Linked DNA regions of Arabidopsis thaliana. The protein of the gene in region 1 binds, or shares a complex with, the protein of each later gene. Links are inferred from orthologs where the notes say so. Each region holds a gene or a part of one and is shown in the gene's direction. Other genes may lie near its edges.

The links. The genes of interacting proteins can lie anywhere in the genome.
Region 2: the proteins of TRX z (region 1) and FLN1 are in contact, whole or in part, in a cryo-EM structure (PDB 8XZV), measured with the Spinacia oleracea proteins. The link is inferred for Arabidopsis thaliana from one-to-one orthologs. Residues at the interface, in XP_021862427.2 of Spinacia oleracea: Tyr73, Val75, Lys77, Ile83, Thr84, Val87, Arg88, Tyr100, Ala101, Thr102, Trp103, Cys104, Gly105, Pro106, Cys107, Ile108, Ala111, Gln112, Lys129, Asp131, Thr132, Asp133, Asp134, Tyr136, Phe138, Arg140, Asp141, Met142, Gln143, Val144; in XP_021865197.1 of Spinacia oleracea: Gln111, Lys112, Glu113, Phe114, Val115, Pro116, Ser117, Val118, Arg119, Val120, Ser121, His123, Gln124, Met125, Asp126, Pro127, Asp128, Ile129, Tyr130, Trp133, Met136, Gln137, Pro141, Phe143, Asp175, Phe176, Lys201, Ala203, Cys204, Ser205.

Annotation. Positions count from the first base shown.
Region 1 is NC_003074.8:2,121,368-2,127,852, forward strand, and holds TRX z (Thioredoxin z), read left to right. Parts: upstream 1-2,787; 5' UTR 2,788-2,908; coding exon 2,909-3,139; intron 3,140-3,454; coding exon 3,455-3,577; intron 3,578-4,184; coding exon 4,185-4,265; intron 4,266-4,361; coding exon 4,362-4,478; 3' UTR 4,479-4,789; downstream 4,790-6,485. Other genes in the region: IMPA-1 (importin alpha), read left to right, coding at 1-64, 172-357, 438-601, 689-767, 1,345-1,473, 1,575-1,702, 1,807-2,188; GATA15 (GATA transcription factor 15), read left to right, coding at 5,291-5,311, 5,396-5,560, 5,635-5,898. UniProt on the Arabidopsis thaliana protein: Thiol-disulfide oxidoreductase that plays a role in proper chloroplast development, most likely through regulating plastid-encoded polymerase (PEP) dependent chloroplast transcription.
Region 2 is NC_003074.8:20,025,386-20,032,123, forward strand, and holds FLN1 (fructokinase-like 1), read left to right. Parts: upstream 1-2,666; 5' UTR 2,667-2,759; coding exon 2,760-3,482; intron 3,483-3,757; coding exon 3,758-4,450; 3' UTR 4,451-4,670; downstream 4,671-6,738. Other genes in the region: AT3G54080 (Concanavalin A-like lectin family protein), read left to right, coding at 12-1,064; AT3G54085 (Yos1-like protein), read right to left, coding at 1,395-1,631. UniProt on the Arabidopsis thaliana protein: Required for proper chloroplast development, most likely through regulating plastid-encoded polymerase (PEP) dependent chloroplast transcription.

The DNA of each region.
Region 1 (6,485 bases):
TCACAATGCTGTTCCAATCTTTGTTCAGCTTCTTGCTTCCCCTAGCGATGATGTTCGTGAACAGGTATGGAACTTCTGATGACTACAGAATGTCTTCTCATTTATTATGAGAGATTATGCAATTGAAAATTTTGTGAAACCCTGATCTTAAGATTTCGCTCTAACCTGCAGGCTGTATGGGCTTTGGGTAACGTTGCTGGTGATTCACCACGGTGCCGTGATCTTGTTCTTGGATGTGGGGCACTGCTTCCGCTGCTCAATCAGCTTAATGAGCATGCTAAATTGTCCATGCTTCGAAATGCCACTTGGACCTTGTCAAACTTCTGTCGTGGCAAGCCTCAGCCTCACTTTGACCAGGTCTATTTTTTTCCCCTCCAAGCTTGTTTCGTCAATGTTTATGTCTAGTATTCTTCTAACATATGAAGCATGTTTAACAGGTCAAACCTGCTCTTCCCGCCCTTGAACGACTAATTCATTCAGATGATGAAGAAGTCTTGACAGATGCCTGTTGGGCTCTTTCTTACCTCTCTGATGGGACCAATGACAAAATCCAGACTGTCATCCAGGCCGGTGTTGTCCCAAAACTTGTTGAACTTCTCCTGTCAGTACCATTTTATAATTCCCTTATTTCATGTCCACTTCACACATTTGTTGACAAATAACTTGATACCTTGCTCTTGATTTTTAGCCATCATTCTCCATCTGTGCTAATTCCTGCTCTTCGCACTGTTGGAAATATAGTTACTGGAGATGATATACAAACACAGGTATGGATCTAAATCCTGTCTATTGAATTTCTCACAGTATTTCGGTTTTGCACATTGTATATGATAGTATATATTTTTCCTACTATGCCAAAGAATATCTTTGTGGTTATGCAATTCTTTGGCCTTTAGGAATAGGTCTGAAGATACCACTAGAACTTTTCATTAATTGAACCGATAGCAAAAACATGTCGAAGTTAGTGATATACCATGCATATCATCTAATCCAAGACTGGTAATTGCGATGAGGTGTTGTTCAAATGTATGGCACCCTGTTGCTATTATTCATATCCAACATTTTATGTGAAAAATGGGAGTATTGAATGCTTATCATGAGATTCTCCCTCTGTTGCCACTCTGTCCATATTAGCAGATAGGATGCAGTGCCTTTTTTGCTATATATTGCTTGTGTTTGAGTTTTGTTACAATTAATTCTTGTTTTAAAGTTTAAACCAACAACATGCACAAATTTTTTGCTTGGTGAAATTTGGTTTTTCATGAGTTTAGCAAAGGTGATTTTTCTATATCTGAAATAGTTTACATCGTTTTACTTGGAAATCTGATTTTACTTCTTCTCCAGTGCGTGATCAATAGTGGTGCTCTACCTTGTCTTGCCAACCTGCTCACTCAAAACCATAAGAAAAGCATAAAGAAGGAAGCTTGCTGGACGATTTCAAACATCACAGCAGGCAACAAAGATCAGATCCAGGTAGGCAATTAGTACTGTTTCATCATATGTTTTGTACCGTTTCCCATCCAGACTTCTATACCTATTCATTAATTGTGTTGTTTTTCCCCTGATGGTTGCAGACGGTAGTTGAGGCTAATTTGATTTCCCCGTTGGTGAGTCTGCTTCAAAATGCTGAATTTGACATTAAGAAGGAAGCTGCATGGGCAATTTCAAATGCAACTTCAGGTGGTTCTCATGATCAAATAAAGTATGTCACTGTCTTTTTTGCGTTCCTCTAACTTCCAGTTTCTTCTCTCATATATATACTTTGTGTATATATATATTGATGTTCTGTTCCCGTTGGTTATACAGATACCTGGTGGAGCAAGGGTGCATAAAACCATTATGCGATCTCCTGGTTTGCCCAGATCCAAGAATCATAACTGTCTGCCTTGAAGGATTGGAAAACATTTTGAAGGTGGGAGAGGCAGAGAAGAACTTGGGTCACACAGGAGACATGAACTATTACGCTCAGCTGATTGATGATGCAGAAGGGCTAGAAAAGATCGAGAACCTTCAGAGCCATGACAACAATGAGATCTATGAGAAGGCTGTTAAAATTCTGGAGACATACTGGCTTGAAGAGGAAGATGATGAGACACAGCAACCTCCAGGTGTTGATGGTTCTCAGGCTGGGTTCCAGTTTGGAGGGAATCAAGCTCCAGTACCATCCGGAGGATTCAACTTCAGCTGAAGGTAAATAAAAGTAAAAATTCTTAAATTTCTAACAACGTCTCTTGATGAAAACATGCAAAATCTGATATTTAGATCAATATAAACCCACAGGAATGGAATTGGAAGCTTGCAACTTGAGAATGGTGAAAGGTCAGAGTCAGTCAGAGTCTAGTTTCACTGCCATGGTTATACTCCAGGTCTGGTCTGGTCTGGTCTCAGAGGTTTGTACCGGGTGGTCGGTTTAAAAGTACAGCGTCTGAGAAAGTGTTTGGTTCATTGTCCAGGGCTATTTTTTTGAAATGACTGGTACACCGGTCGTGAGTCGACCTTTGTGTTGTTTTTAAATTTTGGAGGGTTATAAAAACTTACAGTGGAGTCTTTTGTTTTTGTGTTGACAACAGTTTGTATGTCGGTTAAAAAATTGAAACCATAAACCCTTTATTGGTCTTAATATGTTTGGTGTCTGATTTCCTAAGGAAAGGTTTTTTTTTTTTTGGTCAAACCTAAGGAAGGGTTTATCTTCGAGTTATAAAGACTCGAATCTTTATTTGAATTATGAAGTAAAGTATACATAAAACAGCAATAAATTATTATGAATTTGACTTTACCTGAGCAAGTAAATTGTAAAAAGACAAGAACTAATGAACTATTAGTATATGTCCAGTTCAATTGCCTTATCGTCTAAAACCCCTCAAAAGCTAAAACTGAAATCATTTTGAAGCAGAAATCGATTTCCAAAATGGCTCTTGTTCAATCCAGAACTTTTCCACACCTCAACACTCCGTTATCGCCGATTCTATCCTCCCTCCATGCTCCGTCTTCTCTCTTTATCCGGAGGGAAATCCGACCGGTAGCCGCGCCGTTCTCCTCCTCCACCGCCGGAAACTTGCCCTTCTCGCCGTTGACGCGTCCGCGAAAGCTTCTCTGTCCTCCGCCTCGCGGCAAGTTTGTCAGAGAAGATTATCTTGTGGTACGGACAATTTCTCGCTTTCTCTCACGCTCCAAACAACATATTTTGTCGATTTCAAAAAATTTCATGTTTGTTTTCGTTTTACGACTTCCTTTTTCGCCTTTCTGGGAAATTAAGTTGGCTGGGCATAGATGTAGTTATTATATAAGAACGATATATGGTAGTTCTATCAAAGATTCGACCAGTACACTGTTAAATACTTCAGAATAGAGATTTGCTTAATTTGAATCTTATGAATGACTCTTGTTGATACCATCATGTGGAAGCCTCACTGATTTCTGGATGTTTTTTGTTCCTTTTCTTATGGTTTGACAGAAGAAATTGTCAGCTCAAGAACTTCAGGAACTGGTGAAAGGAGATAGGAAGGTGCCGTTGATTGTTGATTTTTATGCGACATGGTGTGGACCTTGTATCTTGATGGCCCAGGAACTAGAAATGGTACCATGGATTCTCATAACTCAACTTTCTTACACATTCTCCATTTCACTTGCTTCATGTGTAGACTCTAGAATGCTTATATATTTCCAAACGTTGGCTCTTGGAACCCGGTTGTTCGTTATAATATACTTGAATCTTGAAATGTGATGGTATATTACTGTTAAGTCTAGTGCAGTACTATTGTAACTTGCATAGGAGTTGGGCAGTGCATTATAGCTTTGGTAGCTCATCAACAAATCTTTACAGTTTACTGAGATCTTAATGTTTAAAGAGGGGCTATGAAAATGTATTGGGGGCACTCTGGATTTGTCTTGGGTCTTGGTTTGGCAATTGACTAGAGTTGAAAGACCGCTCTCATTAATCAAGTCTCTTCTATGGTTTAGTTCTTTTGGTGAATTAGATAAAGGAGTTAAACAGTTCCAATCTTACGACTGTTTCTCCCATACTTTATGACAAAGATACCTTGTCGCGTAGTTGGCATGTCTACAAATTCAAAAGAAATGTGTGAGATAGGAGAATCTAAGCATCTTCTTATTGATTGGCTTTATCTACTTGCTTTTTCACTCATGACACTCGTGTTAAATAGTTTTTGCTCATTGTGAAACAGCTTGCAGTAGAGTATGAGAGCAATGCAATAATCGTGAAAGTTGATACAGATGATGAGTACGAGTTTGCACGCGACATGCAGGTATACTGTAACTTGCAGCTTATGTTTTTAAATTTCATGAATCTCCTCTCAGCATATCAATGTAAATTCTTACATTAACCAACTCTTGTGATACAGGTTCGAGGGTTACCTACATTATTCTTCATCAGTCCTGACCCAAGCAAAGATGCAATCAGGACAGAAGGGCTAATTCCGTTACAGATGATGCACGATATCATTGACAACGAGATGTGAAGTTTTTACTGAGAAAACACTTTTGTACTCTTTATGATTTGATTAGAATCGCCGTAATTTAGGATTGGTACCGTGTTGTTTGCATTTGAGATGTGGTAAGAATGTCTTCTAGTTTCATAGATGAAGAATGTAGTCTTAAGACATTTGTTTGTATGCAGTGTTCGTTTCAATACCTAAGTGAAAAGGTTAGAGCTGTTGATCTGGTCGGATCCAAGTTATGTGGCACATCAAATTCACGATCCGGTCCATGTAATAACACTGTAGCTTAAACTTGGAAGAGAGAGATATGACGTCATTAAAGACTTTTTCCCCATTTCTTGGTTGACATTAAACCGGGACGAAAGTATTATTAAACACCATTATTAGGAAAAACACGACGCCATTCGAAATGGCGCCCAAATTATGCGAAAATTTTCCTACAGGGTTATGTGCGATATTTGGCGGGTGGCTCTAGCCTGATATTAGAGGACGTAAACAGGGGTAATTTCGTCTTTTAAAGCAATAAATTAAAGCTAGGGTTTAGCCGAACCAATTTCATTTATAATTGGCCATTTGGTTTAGTTTTTGTGAGGTATCTGTTGGGTCGTTTCTTTGAAATCAAAAAAAAAAAATCTCTGTTTCTCTGACACTCTCTCTCTCTGTTTCTACTTTCAAGATTCAAATTTTTGTTCCCCTGATCCACTCGTCTTTGAATTCTCATCAAGTCTTATATGTTTCTTGCCTACTCTGATCTCTATCGGAAACCCTAGATCCATATCTTCTTGACTTGACACTAGTTCACGAATCACGATCTGCGGTTCCTGAAGCTGGTAATGCTAGATCCCACCGAGAAAGTGAGTGATCTGATTCCCTCTTCTCGCTCTGATATCTAGCGATCGGATTGATTAAGCTTAACGCGCTACTACTTCTGTGTTTAGGTAATCGATTCAGAATCAATGGAAAGCAAACTCACATCAGTAGATGCGATCGAAGAACACAGCAGCAGTAGCAGTAATGAAGCTATCAGCAACGAGAAGAAGAGTTGTGCCATTTGTGGTACCAGCAAAACCCCTCTTTGGCGAGGCGGTCCTGCCGGTCCCAAGGTTAGTCTCTTCCCCGATCTTAATTTGACCTAATTGTTATCTAGTTCGATCTGATCCGATTGCTTTTTGTGTAGTCGCTTTGTAACGCATGCGGGATCAGAAACAGAAAGAAAAGAAGAACACTGATCTCAAATAGATCAGAAGATAAGAAGAAGAAGAGTCATAACAGAAACCCGAAGTTTGGTGACTCGTTGAAGCAGCGATTAATGGAATTGGGGAGAGAAGTGATGATGCAGCGATCAACGGCTGAGAATCAACGGCGGAATAAGCTTGGCGAAGAAGAGCAAGCCGCCGTGTTACTCATGGCTCTCTCTTATGCTTCTTCCGTTTATGCTTAACGAATTTTCTGGATCTTAAGTTTTAAGGTGAAATAATAATTAATTTTGTAGGATGTGTAACGAATTAATGTGTAATTTTTGTATGCGTTTTTTTGGTGTTGTTTGAATTAACTAAATTTTGAAATTTTTGTATCTTGTTTATGTGATCTCTGGTGAAGAATGAATGAATGAATGAAAGGTCAAAATGATTTTCTTCCGACAATTGTATTTTATTGAAAAGTTTTGTCTTTATTAGGACAAGAATGGAGACTGCCTATCTGTCAAGCACATAGATTTTATTTTGAAACTTTTCACGAAAATTCTAATGTTCGAATTTGCCGCTTCTTTTCCAATGAAACCTTGAAAACAACCAAATTTTCAATAAACTTTCCCTCGCTAATTCAATAATGGTTTTAGAAATAACTAATAAGAGGATCGTTTAAACTTAAAAACTTTCTTGTTTGGGCAGCAAACAGCTTGAACTCAGTGTGAATGTTATGGGGGTAATGACCATTTGCAATAAATGTAGCATATGGTACACGGAATGTTGGCCTATATTACCTTAGTTCAAACATATTACATCAAAGGTTTCACGTGACTGTTCAAGG
Region 2 (6,738 bases), about 18 Mb from region 1:
GTGCTTCATTAATGGCGAGCTTCATTCTCTCCAGGTCATTACTCGTTCTACTCCTGTCTCTCACCGCATTACTCTCCAGCATCTCGATTTCGGAAGCTACCTCATCGTTCTCGTTCACAAGCTCCGGTAAAAATGCGAGCTTTGAGTCCGAAGACTTTGCCCTGTACGGCGACGCTAAGCTCGTCGACGGCGGATCTTCGATTCAGCTGACTGACTCAGTGAGTCACGGTGGTGGGCGAGTCATCTATAAGAAACCCATTGAGTCCATGAACAATATAAAATTCGAGTATTTCACCGGATTCTCTACTTTCTTCTCTTTCTCGATTTCTCCTAGTCGTGGTGGGAGACTCGGATTTGTAGTGTTTCCTGTTAATGAAACGTTTGATCACTCTTTATTCCAAGTAAAGTTCGATACTTTTGACAGTTTCACCCAAATTGGAGATTCTAATGTCGCGGTGATTGTTGATGGTGCTACGGTGTCTGAGAGGATTCGCAATTTCACGATCGCAAACTTGGAGAAGACGGAGAAGGTTTTGTTGTACGCTTGGATTAATTACCAAGCTGGTGGCAAGTTCTTAGAAGTCCGGTTAAGTAAATCTAAAAGCTTTGAATCTGTTCTTCCTCTGATGTTTGATCAGATTGATTTGTCACAAATGTTGAGAGATGAGGATGAGTTCATGGTTGCTGTGAATTCGTATAGTGGGAATGTAAATCTTCATTCTTGGAGTTTAGAAGTGAGACACTCCGAGTATGAGCACTCTTGGGCGCCGGTGCTTTTGGAGGAACAACTTAGAAAAGAGGAACAACTTAGAAAAGAGGAGGCTGCGAAGAAGAGGACAAGTGATAGGATGTGGGAGGTTGTCACTTGCTTCGTCATGACCTTTGGATCAACAGGGCTTGTGTTCTTTGCCATGATGCATATATATGCAGCTTTCAAAAGGAACAATCTTGCGATGGTGATGCAGGAGGAATGTGGGATCAAGACCAAGGAGTTTGGGTATAAGAAGATGGAGAAAATGGAAGTTGTGACGAGTAATGCTGATGCGAAACAAGAAAGGAAGTGAAGTCATGTTTGGTGATTTTTGTGTGTTTAGGATATGTGAACTGTTAATGTAGTCAAGTAGATTCTTGGTAACTAGTTATCCACGAGGTTCTTCACTGGCTAATGTAACCCCTTCTTATTTTCATGTGTGTAAGCTTGCAACCTTGTTACCATTTGGCATTTTAGTTTGATTTGGCATGTAAAAATATGAGAAGAATGTTGTAGAATGCACACCAAACTTGAGTGCGAGGGATGACAAAAACAAATTCCAACTCCTACACAAAATAGATTTGTAACTAATCACAATCATTTGAAGAACGCAATGTAGTTTATCTTCATCTACACAAAATCTTCAACCGGAGATAAGCTTCAAGACGATGACTGCTGTGTTAATGAGCATGAGGGGTAGCCTCATGTACTGGCAGGCATGGATCAGACCAATGATTTGGCCTTTGGGAGAGTTTCTTCTATCGGTTTGGTGGAGTTCTCCGAGTGTCCATCCTCTTGGAACAAGGAAACGGTCTTCGTTGAGGATTGCCAGTGCATTTGCAAAGAGCAGCAGACCTTTTAACAATGTCCAGAAGCCCATTCTTTTCTGTGATGCATAGAGCTCAAAATGATCAGAATCAGGGAAAGAGAGTGGAACAAAGTTATCTTTTAATAGGTTTAGAAACAAAATGAATGGAGACTAAGTGCATGCAAATGTAAGCTACTGATGTGTTCTGTAGATCTAAAGCGCAGAGAACCATGAAGATAGCAGTGCAAAATCTTGTTTCTAACACATCAAAAAAGCCACCAGATTGAACTTATTCCTGCCTTGCAATAATATCTAGAAATCTAAACAATGGCAGGACGGTCACCGAGTTAGCATTCCAAAGAGCCTTAACCTAGACATATTGTATATCAACACTTCTGAGGATATGCTAATCACATAAGCAACATAAGTATGCTTCACGAGAAAAGCAACAAGCTCGATCAACCCTAAGAGCACTAGATGAGATTTTCTTGTGGATCTGCTTCAACAAAAGTACACTTAGTCAATCACAACATCTTGAATGAAAAAAGAAGAAGAGAGGAATCCTGAGACTTCCCAGTTTCAGCAATCAAAAGATTACTAAGTTTCATCACAATTCACAAGTGAAGAAGACAATCTATCAATGAACACTTTGTCTAAACCAAAATGTGAAAATAGATATTAGAGCAAATGCATACCGATTAAGCTAAGCTTGGTACAGAAACAGAGAATACACAATCCCAATTTTAAGCTATGCAATAAATTACGCAGGAATCATAAACCTTGAAACTGCTGACCTAAACATGAGATCGAGAAAGTAAATGAAGATCCAAGGTTGCTAATAGAAGAAGCAGCCAAACTAATCGATCAATTCCCACAAGGAAGCGAAAAACCCAAATCTAGCAACAACCAGTGAAGAAAAAATCAAAATGAAGGAGCTGAATCGAGTGCAAGATTACCGTAAGAAAACGCTCCGGCGATGAAGACGGCCTGAGAACGAGAGAATTGAATCCGTCGGTGAGGTTTAATTTGTTTCTTCTTTAGAAAATTGAACTGATTTTTCTTCTTCAGCATTAAGTAAAAACCCGAACCGGGTTAGGATTGACCCGGTTTGAATAAAAGTCGGGTCAGGACCCGATATGTTTTTTTTTGAAGAGGAAGAAGATTTGGATAAACCCTGACAGTGGTGTCAAAAACCCATCAATGGCTTCACTTCTTATTTTCCCCCACCTTCACCATTTTGATTCTTCACTGGACCGTAGAGAGGTACTAGTAGTTCGCCATTCACAAGCATCAAGGCGATTTCTCACTCCGAAAGCTTCAATTAATGGCAGCGGAATCACAAACGGAGCTGCAGCGGAAACCACCTCTAAACCTAGTCGCAAAGGGAGGAAGAAGAAGCAAACATCGACGGTAATTGAGAAAGATAACACCGAGACTGATCCTGAATTGAATCCGGAGTTAGCTGATTACGACGACGGGATCGAGTTTCCGTACGACGATCCGCCTCTTGTGTGTTGCTTCGGAGCTGTACAGAAGGAGTTTGTTCCGGTGGTGCGAGTCCATGATAATCCGATGCATCCTGATATGTACTCGCAGTGGAAGATGCTACAGTGGGATCCACCGGAGTTTGGGAGAGCTCCGGGAGGTCCGCCGTCGAATGTGGCGATCTCTCATGTACGGTTAGGTGGGAGAGCTGCGTTTATGGGGAAAGTAGGTGAAGATGATTTTGGAGATGAGCTTGTTCTGATGATGAATCAGGAGAGAGTTCAGACGAGAGCTGTGAAATTCGATGAGAATTCGAAAACTGCTTGTACTCGTGTCAAGATCAAGTTTAAGGACGGGAAAATGATGGCGGAGACTGTGAAAGAACCACCTGAGGACTCGCTATTTGCTTCAGAACTCAATTTAGCTGTGCTTAAAGAGGTAACAATCTTTCAATCTATGAGGAACAATCTAGGGTTTAAGAGGAACAATCTAGGGTGTATGACATTATAGCTCGAGCATAATCATGAAACAGAGCACCTAGGGTTTAGGAGGAACAAGTTTAGTCTAGGGTTTATGACATGAAAGCTCGAGCTTGGTTTCTTATGCAAAAGTCTCTGTCTTTGAGCATAAAGGATAAGATTTGGATAATGAAACAGAGCACTTCTCTGCTTGGTTTTTAAGCTTTTTGTTTGTTACTGGTGCTTCTAATGCAGGCGAGGATTTTTCATTTCAATTCAGAAGTGTTGACGTCTCCTACAATGCAATCAACTCTTTTTACGGCAATACAATGGTCTAAGAAGTTTGGTGGGCTTATTTTCTTTGACTTGAATCTCCCATTACCGCTGTGGAGATCGCGCAATGAGACTAGGAAGTTGATCAAGAAAGCATGGAATGAAGCAAACATCATTGAAGTTTCACAGCAAGAGCTTGAGTTTCTACTTGATGAAGATTACTACGAGAGGAGAAGAAACTACACACCACAGTACTTCGCTGAGGATTTTGATCAGACGAAAAACAGAAGAGACTATTACCATTACACACCAGAGGAAATCAAGTCATTGTGGCATGACAAGCTGAAGCTACTGGTTGTGACTGATGGAACACTTCGGCTTCATTACTATACTCCTACTTTTGATGGTGTTGTGATTGGAACAGAAGATGTGCTTATAACTCCTTTCACCTGTGATAGGACAGGTTCTGGTGATGCTGTTGTTGCAGGGATAATGAGAAAGCTAACAACTTGTCCTGAGATGTTTGAGGATCAGGATGTGATGGAGCGACAGCTCAGGTTTGCAGTTGCTGCTGGGATCATAGCGCAGTGGACAATTGGTGCAGTTAGAGGTTTCCCTACTGAAAGCGCGACACAGAATTTGAAAGAACAAGTTTATGTTCCATCAATGTGGTAGAATAGAAGATGAAGAACTGAACTTGTGTACTCAATGTTTTTGAACAATGTGTGAGTTGTATACTGATTCAGATTTGTAATCCAGAGAAATGTACAATCAATTTTTTTAGTTCAATCTGGATGGTCCAAGTCTTGATGCTTCTCATGAAAGGAGAATCGATTCTACAAGCTGTCTTGATCGGATACAATCATACAAATGGAAAATGAATCGTACTTTTTTAGTGCTATATTACTCCTAATTCTAATTACAAAACTTTTCAACAGAGAACAATGCAATCAGATCTTGCATTTACAAGTGTTCACGGACTTTTTGAACAATGCAATCAGATTTCACATAATACAAGCCAAATATTTAATAAAATATCAAAGATTTTTGGGATGTTTACTTATTTGAAAGAGATATTGGGATGTTTACTTATGGTGATGTCAAAGAAAAAGCAAACGCAAAGAAGTTTTTGGGTGGTAACTTCCAATATCTCAGTTTGTGATGTTTCCCAGCTTTGCTTGGTAAGATATGTAGTTAGAGCCTTAGAGGGACTTGAAATGAATGTTAATAACTTCAATATTTCAGTTTGTGATGTCAAAGACAGTTTGTCAAAATTAAGTATGCGTTGAAAGTGATTAAATCAAATAAAGACTTTATAAGTAGCCTAGCTTAGGGGGATGGGTAAGTTATTTTTAAAATTGTTCCTCCATTAGACATGATATTTTCTTGAGACTTTGAGAGAATGATAAATTTTGTATACTTCATACTTTTTAACCAACGTTAGTTAATTTTTCTGCATGCTAAAATCGTCTAGCTACATATTGCATTAGATACCACTGGCACATTCATTCTGATTTTGGTTGATATCATTGAAGAGAGAGCAGACAAAATAAAGTGAATGTAGCGGTAATCAGCTCACGTCTTATTGAATCAAACCTCTTGGTAATTAGTTGATTTGTAGAATTAATATCATAAATAGATTTGGCTAGACATGTTTTCTATATATATATCAAGAATTCAAAAGAAAAATACTTTGTAATAGACGTATACATAATAAAAATTCTTTGTCCAGTTAATGAACATATATAGCAACTGAATATTATTTGGTATCCCGATACAACAAACAAAACAAAGCCACAAAAAAAGAAACCTAAAAGAGTAAGAAAAGACAAAAACTAAAACATAAAATAACAGAGTAGAATCTAAGCTGAACAGCTCCTGCATGTTCAAATCCCCCATAATAGAAAGACGTGTTGCTCGACATCTTTGATTTGTAGTAGTCGGATTTTGGATACTTGCCTCGTGTCCTCCAATGACTCTTTCCGCTGCTCCGGTCTTATGGGAAACCAATCTTTCCGCCAAAGGAGAGGATAATTAAAAGAAGGTTGATCTCTCGTATGGATGCATTCAATAATGTCTCCATCTGGACTCTCTCTAGTTATAAAAAAATATAGTATCAATATAAGTTGAATAAAGAAGTCACATGAACAGTTTTTAGAAAATGTAGGATAAGTGGTCATGAGTGGTTTACAACGTGCTTTGATGGTCATGAGTGGTTTATAAAAAAGAATTATAATAGACAATTTATACATTTTTAAAAATTATAATTTCTAAACTAATTATTATGGCATTAAAAATAATTTATTACTACTTTTTGCTATGGTTTTGCTTATATTTTGCTTCTCTTTTGCTTTTGTTTTGCTTGTTGTCTTCAAATATAGTTCTTCCAAAATTTCTACTTAATTGATTCTTAAAAGATGATTTCATTGCTTAAATTATGTTTACATATTTTGTTTGAATTTTTTATTAGAATAACACTTACTAAAATTAAATTATTAATATTAAAAAAACATTACTAGTTTGCCTCAAAATACAATTTTTCAAGCCACTAGAATTTTCGATAATATGGAAAGCAATAGTATCCCACCACAATAGTTTTGTAAAATAGGCTTACATTAATTTACCCAACTTGAACTAAATAGAGCCTAATAACTAAAATCTTCCACTCACACGACTGTGGAGCGATTGGACAAGACGAAAACGATTCGATCTGTTAATTTCAAGGGCCAAGGCCCAAAGGGATTTCTGAGAACCAGGTTTGGTTCTAAAATAAATGTCATTTTGCTCCTAACCATAAGTATGAGGGTTGTTAACAATTTCTCTAGAATTTATATGTTTATGACAATATAAGTTAAATTTCAAAATCTTCATAACTATTTATATCATATATGCCTAGCGAACAATATTCCTAATTATCAGATCTAGCAGTATAGAAAAATCGTAACTATAATATCACTCTTTTT